Regions from separate parts of the Mus musculus genome. Here all the other regions are reported to be linked to region 1. The links are microRNA targets in miRTarBase. Many come from high-throughput screens and were not tested one by one. Region 1 holds a microRNA gene; each other region holds the end of a gene's coding sequence.

Region 1 (3,117 bases):
CCTGGACACTTGGCTTCTGACACCCACTCTAATCCTCCTGGACATGCAGCTGAGATTCCCAGAAGCACGGTGTGGCACCAACCCAGAACAGACTGAGTGCCTGCGCACTCCTGGGCTGGCGGGACCAGAGGCGAGTCCTTCTAGAAGAGCCCACAGTCTCAGGCAAGCACTAGCCCACGGGCGTCAGGGCACACAAGGAAGGGGTGGCGGGAATGTCGAGAGCTGCCCGGATTTCAAACTCTGCAAAGCCTATGCTGCTTTGGTTTCCGGGGTGGGGATAAAAAGTGACTCCCCTTACGACCTTCCCGCGACCCAACCTCCTCCGAGTGTGTCCGAGGCAGCTCGGGGCCAGGTCCTCATCCCACAGAGGGCTAGCCTGGGGTCTCCGCAGAGCGCTGCCACTCAGCCAATCGAGCATGGGCAAAGAGAGAAAGGCAAACCTAGGGACACTCACCAAGCGGTGGCCGCCCCGCCGGCTCGCGACGCGCCAGGCGCGCGGGGCTGCCCAGGTGGCGCCGCGAAGCGGGCTCGAGTTTGAAAGTCGCTCTCGGAAGCGGCAGAGGCCGCCGGCCGCTCCCGCCCACGGCTGGCCGCCCCGCGGTCCCAGCCTCTGCTCGCTGCGAGCACCAGACGCCGGGGGACCCCCGAAATGCGCACGGTTCCCCAGCACCGGGCAGGAAGTTGCGGCCGGAGTCCAGGCTGCGGCGGGAGGGAGGGAGGGAGAGAGAGAGGGAGAGGGAGGGAGCCAGGGAGGGGCGGACCAGGAATGTTTCCAGTGGGTGGAGACTGCGCTCGCGGCTGCGATCCAGCAATTGGCGGCTCTGGGGGGCCCGGGGGAACCTTCGCGGCGGTGCGAGCGAGCTGTGGCTCCCGCTGTAGACAGCGGCCGCCGTGGCTAATGATTAACGCGCGTGGCCCGCCGTGTGGGTCCCGCTGGCCGCCTCCCCTTGCCACCTGGAACTCTGGGATCCCAAGGCGCACGTGGTGGGGTTACTCTAGTGCCACCGCCCTGATATCACGCCGAGAGGGCAACGAAAGCCTCCAGACCAGGTTCCGACCAGAGAGGACTCGGAGCCCAGCCACCTAGACTTTCCCAGGAGAAGCGCAGGTCTAGGTGGCAAGGGCGTCCTGGTCCTACTGGAGCAGGTCACCACGACCGCTGAGTCAGAAAGGCACGTCTCGAATTCCTCGCCGAAACTAGGTTTCGGTGGCTCTTTACAGTTGTAAAATCTTACCTTCTGAGGAGAAAGAGATAAGAAGCGCATAACTTGGGGCGGGGCGGGGCGCGGCGCTCAGTGGGACTGTTAATGAGAAAAACTGATCGAGGAACCTGAATGTCAGTGGACCCCATTTTGAGTGCGATCTATCAACAAAAGGCATGTACCGGGAAATTAGGGGATGGGAAAATTGGGGGATGATTAGCACAAGCACATAGAATACAAACCAGTTAGATTTTGAGCAAGAACATAAATCTTTTGTGTGGTTTTTGTTTTTGAAGCAGGATTTCAATTATCTGAGACTGGCAGAGGGTAATCTTGAGAGTAATGGTTCTCCACCCTCTATCTCCGGAGTGCTGGGATTACTGGTGTGCACCACCACGCCCTAATTATTGTTTTTATTTTATTTTTTGATTTGAAACAGGCCCACACTTTGTAGCCCAAGCTAGCCCAGAACTCTTGAGTGATCCCCCAGAGTGCTAGAATTATAGGTGTGCGCTACTACACCTCACTAAGAATAAATCTTTCATTGGTAAAGATCTTAGGGGAGGTAGCATTAGATGCTGTCCCCAGTACGCACCATGAAGAGGGGTAGGAGATGGGAGCCCAGTGTGAGATCACAGAAGAAGTAGGACTCCTGCGTTAAACGATGGCACCAGGTTCTTGGAACAGGAATGGAGAATCGACCCCAGTAACTCAGCATTTAGACCGCCAAGTGTAGACAAGTGAAAATCCTAAATAGCTTATAAAATCCCCTCCTCCACCACTGCCCTCAAAAAAAAAAAAAAAAAAAGCTGCCCCAGGGAAAAGCAAGCACCTAGTGATTTACGGGGAGGGGCGGGGCAGAGAGAGAGGAAATGGCTTTCAGGTGACTTTGAAACGGGATCCCTGGGAAGAGTAAAGATTAAAGTAGTCCTTGCTCCTGACTGCGGGAGGGCCAGAAAGTAAGGCTCACGTTACTTAGTCCACAGGTTAGGCTTGAAGAGCGGCAGACTAGAGGACAGCACTGGTGAGAAACAAGATTACCCGGGAACGGGGGAGAGAGATAAAACTACGGGGTGGGATGGGAAAGGGAGAAGCCCCACTCCTTCCCACCTCGAACTTTCTGGGTTTCTGGTTTCTTCTCTAATCTGTTAAATCTTACCAGTCCTTTCCTACTAATCTTAAACTCCCAACTTCCAAAGACGTCCCCCAGCCCCAATCCAGAGATTTAAAACTTTTGAATGTATGACTGGCTCCTTAGCTAGAAAAGAAAAATAAAATGTTGATGATAGTAATGGTTAGGGAATGGTGCTACCAAGTGCACTGCACTTTATAATCACTAAGGCAGGAATACACTTACTCCCATTTTGCAGGAAGAATACTGAGGCTCTAAGGATGGAGCAGTCTGGCCAAGATCAATTGCATCAAGGGGCGTAGTCTGAGGGGGCGACACTGGAGTGCTTACTGTGTTAACCTTTGAGCATTTTACAAGAACAATTGCGGTTACAGGAGAAACTGAGGCTTGGTCATACTGCTAGTGGGTGGTAGAGCTGGGAGTTTCTACCCACAGGGAAAACTGCATTTAGCCAGCCAGCTCTTTCTCCACTTCCTTCTAGACACTTGTTAGTCCATTCTGAACTTGATTCTAAAGCCTCGAGTTGTTTCTAATTGCTTTAATTTATATGCCCATTTCCTGAAAAGATTGTAATCTTACTATGCAGAACTTGTAAGAAGCATTCAATAAGGCCATGCTGGAGCCAGATGAAACAAGCAAGATTTTATAAAAAATCAGTTTCCTACCTCCAAGCCTCCAAGAGTCAGTGTCAGGACCAGGGTCTCAAGCCGAGCCGCAGCCCCCTTCTCAGCGTTGAGCCTTTCTGCCTTCCCACCAGCTCTTGCTTCAGCGAGCGGCCTCGCC
Region 2 (3,117 bases), not on the chromosome of region 1:
GAGGAGAGCAACAGTGAATTCACATTAATAAATTCGTCTTCAATTTTTAAAAATATGTCTAAACCTTGTCTAATTATTAAAAAGAGAATTTTACTATTTATCAAATAGCTTTGTAAATTCTGATGTCAATTTTACTAATGCTTTAAGAACTGTCATCATGGTTTTTAAGGCAAGATACCAAGATAATTCTTCTCATTACTTCCAAGTCTTTCTGGGCATTTTCTTCTGTTATCTAAGTGGTTCATTTTGTCATTCTATAGTTTGCTGACAACTATGTGCAAAATATAGTAGCTGCACTAAAGAACTAAAATACCCTTAGCTCTATTTTCACAAAGTTTCTAAACTCTGAAGGAAGTAAAAGTGAAAATGTGAAATATCTTTCTCTACTTACTGTATTATGGCATTGTTTGCATATCAGGTCTGATTTTTTTATCACTGAAAGGAATGGAATGTATCCATTTTCCTTCTCAAGACCTAGCAGAACACCTTAATAAAAACTAGTGTAATTCACCACAATAAGCAATTGTGTTTTCCAGCAACAGGGGTCCCTAAAAAGGTTATCTCACACTGGGAAACATAAATAATACAAGGCAGAGAAGTTACCCTAATAGGCTTTGAATTATTCGACAAATGGAAGTTAATGATAAAGTTAAGAAAATATTTTCAACTGAAAAGGTATAAAAATAGTATTACATGGTAAATACTTTATAAGTGTCTGCTTATGAAAAGTATAGTTGAATAACACATGAAAAATATCATATGTGGAGACAGAAATTGTGAACCTGAAGAAGTGAAGGTATGGTGATACTGCACAAGTTGTGTGGGAAGATCTGCAATCTCAGTAAGCAGTTGTAACTGTCAACCTTCTACAGCAACAAAACAATGACAGTAACAACTACTCTTCAAGCAGGAGAAACAACTACTCTTGGTACCTCTGGGATGTCAATTGTGTACGTTTAAGGAATTGAATAATTCAACAATCTTGTCAATTATACAAACCCATTAAGGCAAGTTTACGGCCAGGTTGGGGATTAAAAAAAAAAAAAAGCCATCTAACAGGATGCCATGCTTTTATTTACCATCATGCATAAAAATGGCAACAAATATACAGTGCTGACAAAGTACTTTTATAACTATATCAAGACAATCAAGTCACATATTTACTTTTCCATGAAAACAATAATTTGACACATTTGATTAAGACCAATTATCCAAGCCGTTTCTAAGAATTTGGAGTAATATCGAAAACTGTTACGAATATTCAGTCTCAGTATTATAAAGACTACTGTTAGCCAGGCAGTGGTGGCGCACGCCTTTGATCCCAGCACTTGGGAGGCAAAGGCAGGCGGATTTCTGAGTTCAAGACCAGCCTGGTCTACAGAGTGAGTTGTCTTACAATATTCCAAATGGTTTCAAATAAATGCAAACAAAAGTGTTTAAATTTTTTCAGTAAGTTGAAACAAGTAGCATTTTACTAAATATTGGTAAAAGATGGGCAAAATATTATACTTTCACTTATATCAGATCACATATAAAGAGAGGAAAATAACTCAAACTTGCACTGCTTCTTTAAAGAAGCACTATCTAGGCAACATTCAACACTCAGAGAAAATATTTTTTCCTGAGAAATTAGTTCTCTTCCCATCACCACTGACTGACCAAGATGTGTAAGCTGTGTCCTGTCTTCATTCTCAGCCCAATTTTTATCTGACTTATTTTGATTCTAAGCCTTTTCAGCTCACTTTTTCTGCTTAGAGTACCCATCAAAACTTCTTTAGTTCTTCCATATATTAGGAAGGGCTCAGCTGTTTCCATCTAGCTGTCTCCCTGGAAGCTTTTTAGAGCTTGCTAACCAGGCTGGGGAGTGGGTAAGAGAGGAGACAAGGCAGAGTTGTTTCCTCTTTTACAGAGTATCTTCTCAGGAAATGCTAAGTATAAATGACTCCTGGCCTTACAGATGTTTCTGAACTACTTTTCTTTAAAATAGCAGGAGAAAGGTGGGAGAGTGAGGGTGAGGAGCACTGGCAAACACAATGGAGTGTGATATAACCTAGAAAGTGGTGCCAAAAAAAAAAAAAAAAAAAATCACACAGACAGTGGCCCACTCCTTCAATGTTTAGGCTCAGCAACTGTCCAAAAACTCTGTGTCCACGTTGCCACATGATGAACAGATAAATAGAAGGGCCCCCAGTTAAAGCAAGACATCTAGGTGGCAGTAAACAGGTAAGACTGAAAACAATAGGGTCCAAACAGTGTAAAGGCAGTGTAACATACAGTTTCATTGTTGAGCTTAGAAAGGGTATAAGCCAGGGCCGTGAACCAGCAGATACTAATTCAGAACAGCATGAAGGCCATGGGAAAGCAGAAGCATGTCCAGTCTTAATCTCGAGGTGGAGACTATCCAGATAGAAGATGCAGAAAAGTCAGGAGGAAAGAAATCAAAACACTGCATACCCGTTGCATTTGCTCAAGCACAGGTGAGAAGGGACCAGTTCCGGCCGCATTTTCAAATGCAAAGATTAACCTGACTGGAAGCCAAAAGGCCTGGGAATCTCCACTGGCTCCCTTATTGGGCGACGTCGGGGTCTACGGATTCCTTCACGACACAGGTAGTATTGCAGTGGGTTTGGCCACAGATCCTCTTTGATAATCTCAGCGATTCTGTCAGATTCTGGAAGGCTGTGGTCCGAGAACCAGGTGAAGAAGCTGCAAATGAGATCTTGGTTTCTGCGAATGAAGGACTGGGGCTCATGCCCTCTCCGCCAAATGATTGGAGTGGAAAGAGACACCACTCGACCAGATGATCTCACTTCATATTCCTTGACAATCAGCTTGTTTCTGAAGTAGGGGTTTCTTCGAAAAAAGAACTTGAATTTGCAGCCAGTCTTAGGGTGTCTCAGTTCCTTCACCTCCAGACTGGTTACGTACCTTAACATCTCTGCATCCCGACCCCTAATCATGGCGGACAACTGAGGGTGGTTCCGGAAGGCAGTCATCCAGAAGCCTGGGATATTCTGAATGATGTAGTTCCTCCGTTCCAGGTAGTGTCGTCGCATTCGCCCAAACTTCTGCTCCAGATGTTGGAAGGCCCTGTCGGCCTGAGCATTCACAGTGTCC
Region 3 (3,117 bases), not on the chromosome of region 1:
AACTGGTATCCCTCAGAGCATCTCTTGAAAACCACAAGAGGCCCTACTGTGTGGCCACATTTTGTTTTTTCCTAGACATAATTCTTGAAAATGTATTTTTCCTTAGACACTTGAGGAGTATTTTAAATGGGCATTGCTCTCAAAATAATTTATGCTTTTTTTTTTCTCTTGAAACCTCCAGTGTTATAAAATGACCTTGTAATGCAAGGCCCTTGTTCAGCTTCCTCATTATTTCTAACTCTAATCTGAATATCCCCTGGACTGGCCAGGGCTCCCTGTCCAGCGTCACGGAAGAGCACTAGTGGTAGGCCATGTTTTAGTAAGTGTCAATATTACACCGTTCTGCGTGGCGCCCAGAGTAGCCTAGTTAGACTTTTTGTCTAACCAAGGGGGTTCTTCTCCATACTTCGCTAAGTTTTTCACATGAGTTTTCTTCCTGTGACTGTTAAGATATTCAGCTCTCTCTATTCCTGGAGTGGGTTGGGTCTGGTTGACCACTATTTATGCAACAAGCATCTGCATCTGGTTCATCTGGGGTCAGGCCCCATAACCTCTATAACCAAGTTATGGTAGAGTCTCCTAACCTCAAACCTGACTTTCTGTAGTCTTAGTTATCTGTGGGATGGGCTGCTAATCACAGTGCAAACAAACTAAGTGGACACAGATTAACAATACCTGGGGAGAGGAGTATTGGAAATTAAACGCAGCCTCATGCCATCTAGGCAAGGGCCTTCCTACGGAACCTATCCTCAGCCCTCAACTCCTGAGGTGTAAGTCGACATCATTGCTGATGAAATCTCACCGGAGTGTCAGGAATTCCACACTGCATTCACGACTTGTCCACCGCTAAGCAGCCGTCTCAGCGACAACCTTAAAGTGCTGCAGAACCATAGTACTCATGGTTTGGGACTATTTCGCTTCAGGTATTGACCAGGGGGTCTTGGGACGCATCTATTGTGGGCAATGAGAGGCGACTGGACTGGCAATCAGAAGAGGATCATGAGTATCGATTTAAACTCCTTGCTCGGGATTCTCACATGGAGAAACGGTAGGTAGCCAAACTCTTTTAGCAAGGGATTATGCCAAAAAGTATCAACCAGAAAATGTCTGGTAGATGAATACTGTGTTCTAAAGCCCTGGAAATAGGAGGCAAGAAACAGAAACGACAACATATTTATAGTAATACACTCTTCTAGTGAAATGGACACAAGCAACCCCGAGTTACGTATGCATATGTGGTTTGGGTAGGAATGGCCACCATAGGCTCATAGATTTGGATCTTGGGTCATTAGGAAGTGGCACCAGGTATGACCTTGCTGGAATAGGTGTTGCCTTGCTAGAGGAAGTGTGTGACTAGGGGGTAGATTTGGGTTTTCAAATACTCAAGTCAGGCCCAGTCTCTCTCTCCCTGCTGCCTGTGGATCATGATGTGGCACTCAGCTACCTCTCCAGCATCGTGTCTGCCTACATGCCGCCATGATGCTCCCCACCATCACAGTGCACTAAACCTCGGGGCTGGAGTTCAGAGCAGCCCCAATGAAATGTTTTCCCTTCCAAGAATTCCCATGGCCATAGCGCCTCTTCACAGCAACACAACACATAAACAGCATGGTTTATCAAAATAGTATTTAAAAAATTTTTTTGCTCAATTCCAGTTGAAAATATTTTTACAAAAACCACTCTACGGGTAAGCACCGACATAGAAAGCTATGTACTTCCCTATCAGCTAGCACATCCCACCCATGTACCCACTGTAACAGTCATTTTAATCCTTGCTGACATGTTCTCACAAATGATTCAAAGCCGAGATTGCGAAACATTGCATAGAGACTGTTCAATTGCGTGTCTAGAACAGCAGAAGTGCCGTGTTTCAGTCACCCTCATGCTCAACTGCTGGCTTCATGACTTCATTTTATAAGTTTATTCGGAACTCATAGCTTCTTGCATCTTTTCCATGAACACCCGTGGTAACGTCGGTCAGAAATATGGCTTTTAGTGTGCGTTTCCAAGGCGAGTTATACTCAGGAGCTGACAGCTCACAGCAGAACTCCCTGATATGTAAATACGATTTAAATAAAAATAAATATTAAATACTTTCAAAGGTTCACTCCTGTAAAGATGACCTAGTGTCCCATAAGTCATACGGTCATGGGTTGCTTCACAGATTCCTCTCTGAAAGCTCAAGTTAAAATGGACTTTGTTTTAGGACTCCACACTCAAGAGCGTGGATGCTCAGCTCGTGAATCTTGCAGAATGTCTATAGCATGCAAAAGGCCCAGAATCCCAGCACCACATATATTGAAAATTGGGGGGGGGGGTTGAGGGGGGTCCACCCTTGACTACCTGTTGGACTTCCAATGTTCACTATAACCAAATGCTTTTCTTAAGAACTGAGATGTCACTGGGCAGTGGTGGTGCACACACCTTTAATCCCAGCACTCGGGAGGCAGAGGCAGGCGGATTTCTGAGTTCGAGGCCAGCCTGGTCTACAGAATGAGTTCCAGGACAGCCAGGGCTACACAGAGAAACCCTGTTTCAAAAAAACCAAAACCAAAACCAAAAAAAAATTTAAAAACCTTGGCATGTCAGAGCTTTTCTACAGTGAGTACATTTACAGTGCCTCTTTTATGAATTCTCTGATGGCTATTGAAGGCTGATCTGTGGTGGAATTTTTTCCCACATTCGTTACATTCATAAGGTTTCTCTCCTGAATGAGTCCGGTAATGCACGGTGAGGTACGACTTCTGAGAAAAGACTTTCCCACACTCGTTGCACTCATACGGCTTCTCTCCTGAATGGCTTCGGTAGTGTACGGTGAGGTTCGACATCCGCGAGAACACTTTCCCACACTTGCTGCACTCGTAGGGCTTCTCTCCCGAATGGATCCGGTGATGGATAGTGAGATACGACTTCTGAGAGAAGAACTTCCCACATTCGTAACACTCGTACGGCTTCTCGCCGGTGTGGACCCTTTGATGTCTGAAGAGGGATGAGTTATGAGAGAAGGTCTTCCCACATTCACTGCACCCGAAGGGCTTCTCTTCGGAATGACCTCTGTAGTGCACAGTGTAGCATGACGAATCCGAGAAGGACTTTCCGCATATATTACACTCGTAA
Region 4 (3,117 bases), not on the chromosome of region 1:
TCAGGCGGAGATTCCAAGCTCTGCGCCAGGGAGGCGCTGCTGTCTTCAGATCTCACCGAATAGACACCGCCCCTGTCCCTATCCCCACCCAGCAGGAGCCAACTCTGCCTAGAGCTTCCCATTGCCACCCTGACACTCATGCGTTTAGCTGGTTGAGTTCATTAAGCGCCCTCCTAGCGCTGGGGATTCCGGGGACAATGCATCTCTGCCCTCCTTGCTTCCTGCCCATGATAGGAGGTCACACCCAGTATGAGAGTGACAGCCTAAAACCGTCAGTGCAGTGGAGAATACCAGCACCCATATAATTCAGAAAGGAGGCACCTCTCTGCAGGATACGAGGTCCGGAGAAAAATAGCGACAACCCACACAAATAATCCAATTTACTCCCGGGGAGTGGTCAAAGTGAGACTCTGTCTTCTTCATGCTGTATCCCCAGCTCCTAGAACAAGACCTGGATCAACCAATCCTGTGGAACCCGAGTTAGGGAGATAAAGTGGAAGCTGGCACCAGGAAAGGGGACAAGTTTGAGAAGTGGAGTATAGGCAAAAGGCAGAGGTGACAAGGATTGGAGCCAGGGACAGTGACCATGTAAGGCCGACTAGACTTCATTCTGAGGCTCACAGAAGGATGACTTAACAGGGGTTGTGGCTCAGTTAATAGAGTTTTCATAGCATTCACAAAGCCCTGGGTCCAAGTCCCCCGTGCCACACAAACCAGTTATGTTGACTCAGGATTGTAGCTCCAGCACTCAGGAGGCAAGTGGATCAAAAGTTTAAAATCACTCTCAAGTAAAAAAAAAAAAACAAAAACAAAACAAAAAAAAAAAAACAAAACCAACCAACACCCCCCCCCCCAAAAAAAAACCCTCAGGATGCACATAACCCTGTTGATGTCTCAAGAGATGTCAGCCTCTGCCTGTGGCTTTGGGGCAGTATTTCTAAGCCAGGGAATATCCTTCTGGAAGGGGGGTGGGGCATACATAGACCAGCCAATCCACAATAACGTGGATAGTGATGACAGCCTGGGGCCACATTGTGTCAGTTCTGCCCCAGGAGGGCTATTAACTTTATCTGCCTGACCAAGACCTCATGAAGACTCTAGGCCCCAGAATGCAATGTACATTTCGTGACCATTAACGTGCTGTGTTGCCAGACGTCAGTGCAGTGGGTGCTTCCACAGGAAGAACACACAGATGTTTGGACTAGGAATTGACCTGGACCCTGGCACATCCCCTTCTCTAGTTGGCTGGGTTTTAAACGTATTTTTTGTTTTGTTTTGCTTTCTGTTATCTTTGAGAAAGACACACAGCTATATAGCTTAGGCTAGCCTTAAACTTACAATCCTCCTGCCTCAGCCTTTTTTCCCCCCCTTTCTGAGACAGGGTCCCATTATGGATCCTTGACTATCCTGAAACTCGCTCTGACAAGGCTTGTCTTGAACTCACAGACAACCACTGCTCCTGCCTCCCAAGAGCTGGGGTTAAAGGCATGTGCCATCGTGCCAGAATCTCTTGGCTAATTTTAATTATATTTTAATCTAATTACCTGTGCTACAGCATAACCACAAGCCTAAAAACTTTTAGTGAGCCTTCTATCAAAGGACCAGGCCTAGTCCAGCGTGGTGGTGCCTGCCTGTAATTCCCAGTGTGCAAGATGCAGACGCTGGAAAGCTGCTGCAGTTTGATGCTAGCTTGGTTGGCAATCCAGTAGATCTACAGAGTGAGTGGCTTCCAGGGCAGCCAAGGCTACAAACCCTGTGTTGAAAAACAACACAACTGGAGAGATGGCTCAGCGGTTAAGAGCATTGACTGCTCTTCCAGAGGTCCTGAGTTCAATTCCCAGCAACCACATGGTGGCTCACAACCACCTGTAATGGGATCTGATGTGCTCTTCTGCTGTGTGTGAAGACAGAGCCCTCATATAATATAAGTACCTGTTTAAAAAGAAAAAAACAACAGAAAAGAAAGGAAAGAAGAAAGAAAGGAAAGAAGAAAGGAGGTGGCTCTCAACCTTCCTAATGTTTCAACCCTTCAATACAGTTCCTCATGTGGTGACCCTCAACCATAAAACCATTTCATTACTACTCCATAACTATGACCTTGCTGTTGTGATGAATCATAATGTAAATATCTGATATGCAGGATCGGTGATGTGTGACGCCTGTGAAAGGGTTGTTCAACCCCCGAAGGGGTTGCAACCCACAAGTTGAGAGCTACTGGTTTATACAATGAGCTCCAAGCTATCACAAGATGCTGTCTCAATTTAAGAACAACAAAAACCTACTATTCCCCTTATGAGACAGCTCTCTTAGTTTCAACATCAAAAACAAAGTTCACCTGTTGGAGTGGTGCACGCCTTTAATGCCAGCACTTAGGGGGCAGAAGCAGGTGGATCTCTGTGAGTTCGAGGCCAGCCTGGTCTACAGAGTTCTAGGCTGGCCAGGGCTTTTACAGAGAGGAAACTCTATCCTGGGAAAATAAAAAGTTCTCAGCCTGATGTGGTTGAGCAAAATAAGAACCTTTATAGATGTCTCTGGGGAGATGAGAAAAACTAGGTTATAAATAAGCAATATGTACAATAAAGCCCTTTCAAAGAGTCTCCAGTCGGTAGGGGGAGGTAGAGATTGGACACCACAAAGTAAATAAAATCATTCAGGCTCCATCTCCAGGCGATGATAGAGAAGGGACAAGATAGAGAAGGGGCAGGATCAGGCCTGAAAAAAGAAATGAGAAAGAAGCGTTAGAAAAGATATTGAGGGTGGGAGGAGCTGGCTGCCACTGAGCCAAGTGTCCAAAGCCTGGAACGTGGGAACGTGGGTCGAGGATACCTCTCGTGCATAAATGGAAGGGGCTGGTATGACATAAATGGATCTAGAGTCTCCATCTTCAGGATGATTCCAGTCAGCCGACGAACTGTGGGAGGAGAGAAACGGGGGACAATTCAGACCCCACGAATTCTCATTTTTTTATTTCCCACACCCATCAAAGAGGGAAACCGCAGACTGGCAAGGGAGAATTCTGCAATGACCCCATCAGAAGAGGGCTAGGGCTAGAACACCTGGGTAAGAAAGTCCAATCCGATAGAACCAGACCAGTCAATTGGCCGCAGTGACAAGGTG

The links. The annotated mature microRNA mmu-miR-5135 reads AGGUCUAGGUGGCAAGGGCGUCCU and lies in region 1 at 1,107-1,130, shown strand. An mRNA with a match to its seed (bases 2 to 7 or 8) in the 3' UTR can be bound and repressed. Matches are read on the target gene's strand: a 7mer-m8 pairs with bases 2 to 8, a 7mer-A1 pairs with bases 2 to 7 and ends in A, and an 8mer does both.
Region 2: miRTarBase lists Tspyl1 as a target of mmu-miR-5135. Seed matches in the 3' UTR shown: 7mer-A1 at 1,372-1,378.
Region 3: the mRNA of Rbak is a reported target of mmu-miR-5135. Seed matches in the 3' UTR shown: 7mer-A1 at 2,483-2,489.
Region 4: the mRNA of Dll3 is a reported target of mmu-miR-5135. Seed matches in the 3' UTR shown: 7mer-A1 at 2,415-2,421.

Annotation. Positions count from the first base shown.
Region 1 is chr12:76,531,156-76,534,272 of GRCm38, reverse strand. Mir5135 (microRNA 5135) reads left to right here and starts at 1,061; the gene lies at 1,061-1,139. Plekhg3 (pleckstrin homology domain containing, family G (with RhoGef domain) member 3) reads right to left here and starts at 713. Exons shown (of 19, transcript NM_153804.4): 1 at 455-713.
Region 2 is chr10:34,282,823-34,285,939 of GRCm38, reverse strand. It overlaps Tspyl1 (testis-specific protein, Y-encoded-like 1), which reads right to left. Exons shown (of 1, transcript NM_009433.3): 1 at 1,055-3,117. The coding sequence ends at 2,520. The region is part of intron 1 of Gm26564 (a long non-coding RNA gene); the gene reads left to right. Among named protein-coding and RNA genes, the nearest start is that of Tspyl1, 2.2 kb to the right of the region's middle.
Region 3 is chr5:143,170,576-143,173,692 of GRCm38, forward strand. Rbak (RB-associated KRAB zinc finger) reads right to left here. Exons shown (of 5, transcript NM_001045482.2): 5 at 1,611-3,117. The coding sequence ends at 2,586. Among named protein-coding and RNA genes, the nearest start is that of Rbakdn, 6.4 kb to the left of the region's middle.
Region 4 is chr7:28,291,215-28,294,331 of GRCm38, forward strand. Dll3 (delta like canonical Notch ligand 3) reads right to left here. Exons shown (of 9, transcript NM_007866.2): 8 at 2,827-2,911; 9 at 2,341-2,712. The coding sequence ends at 2,707. Among named protein-coding and RNA genes, the nearest start is that of Selenov, 1.6 kb to the left of the region's middle.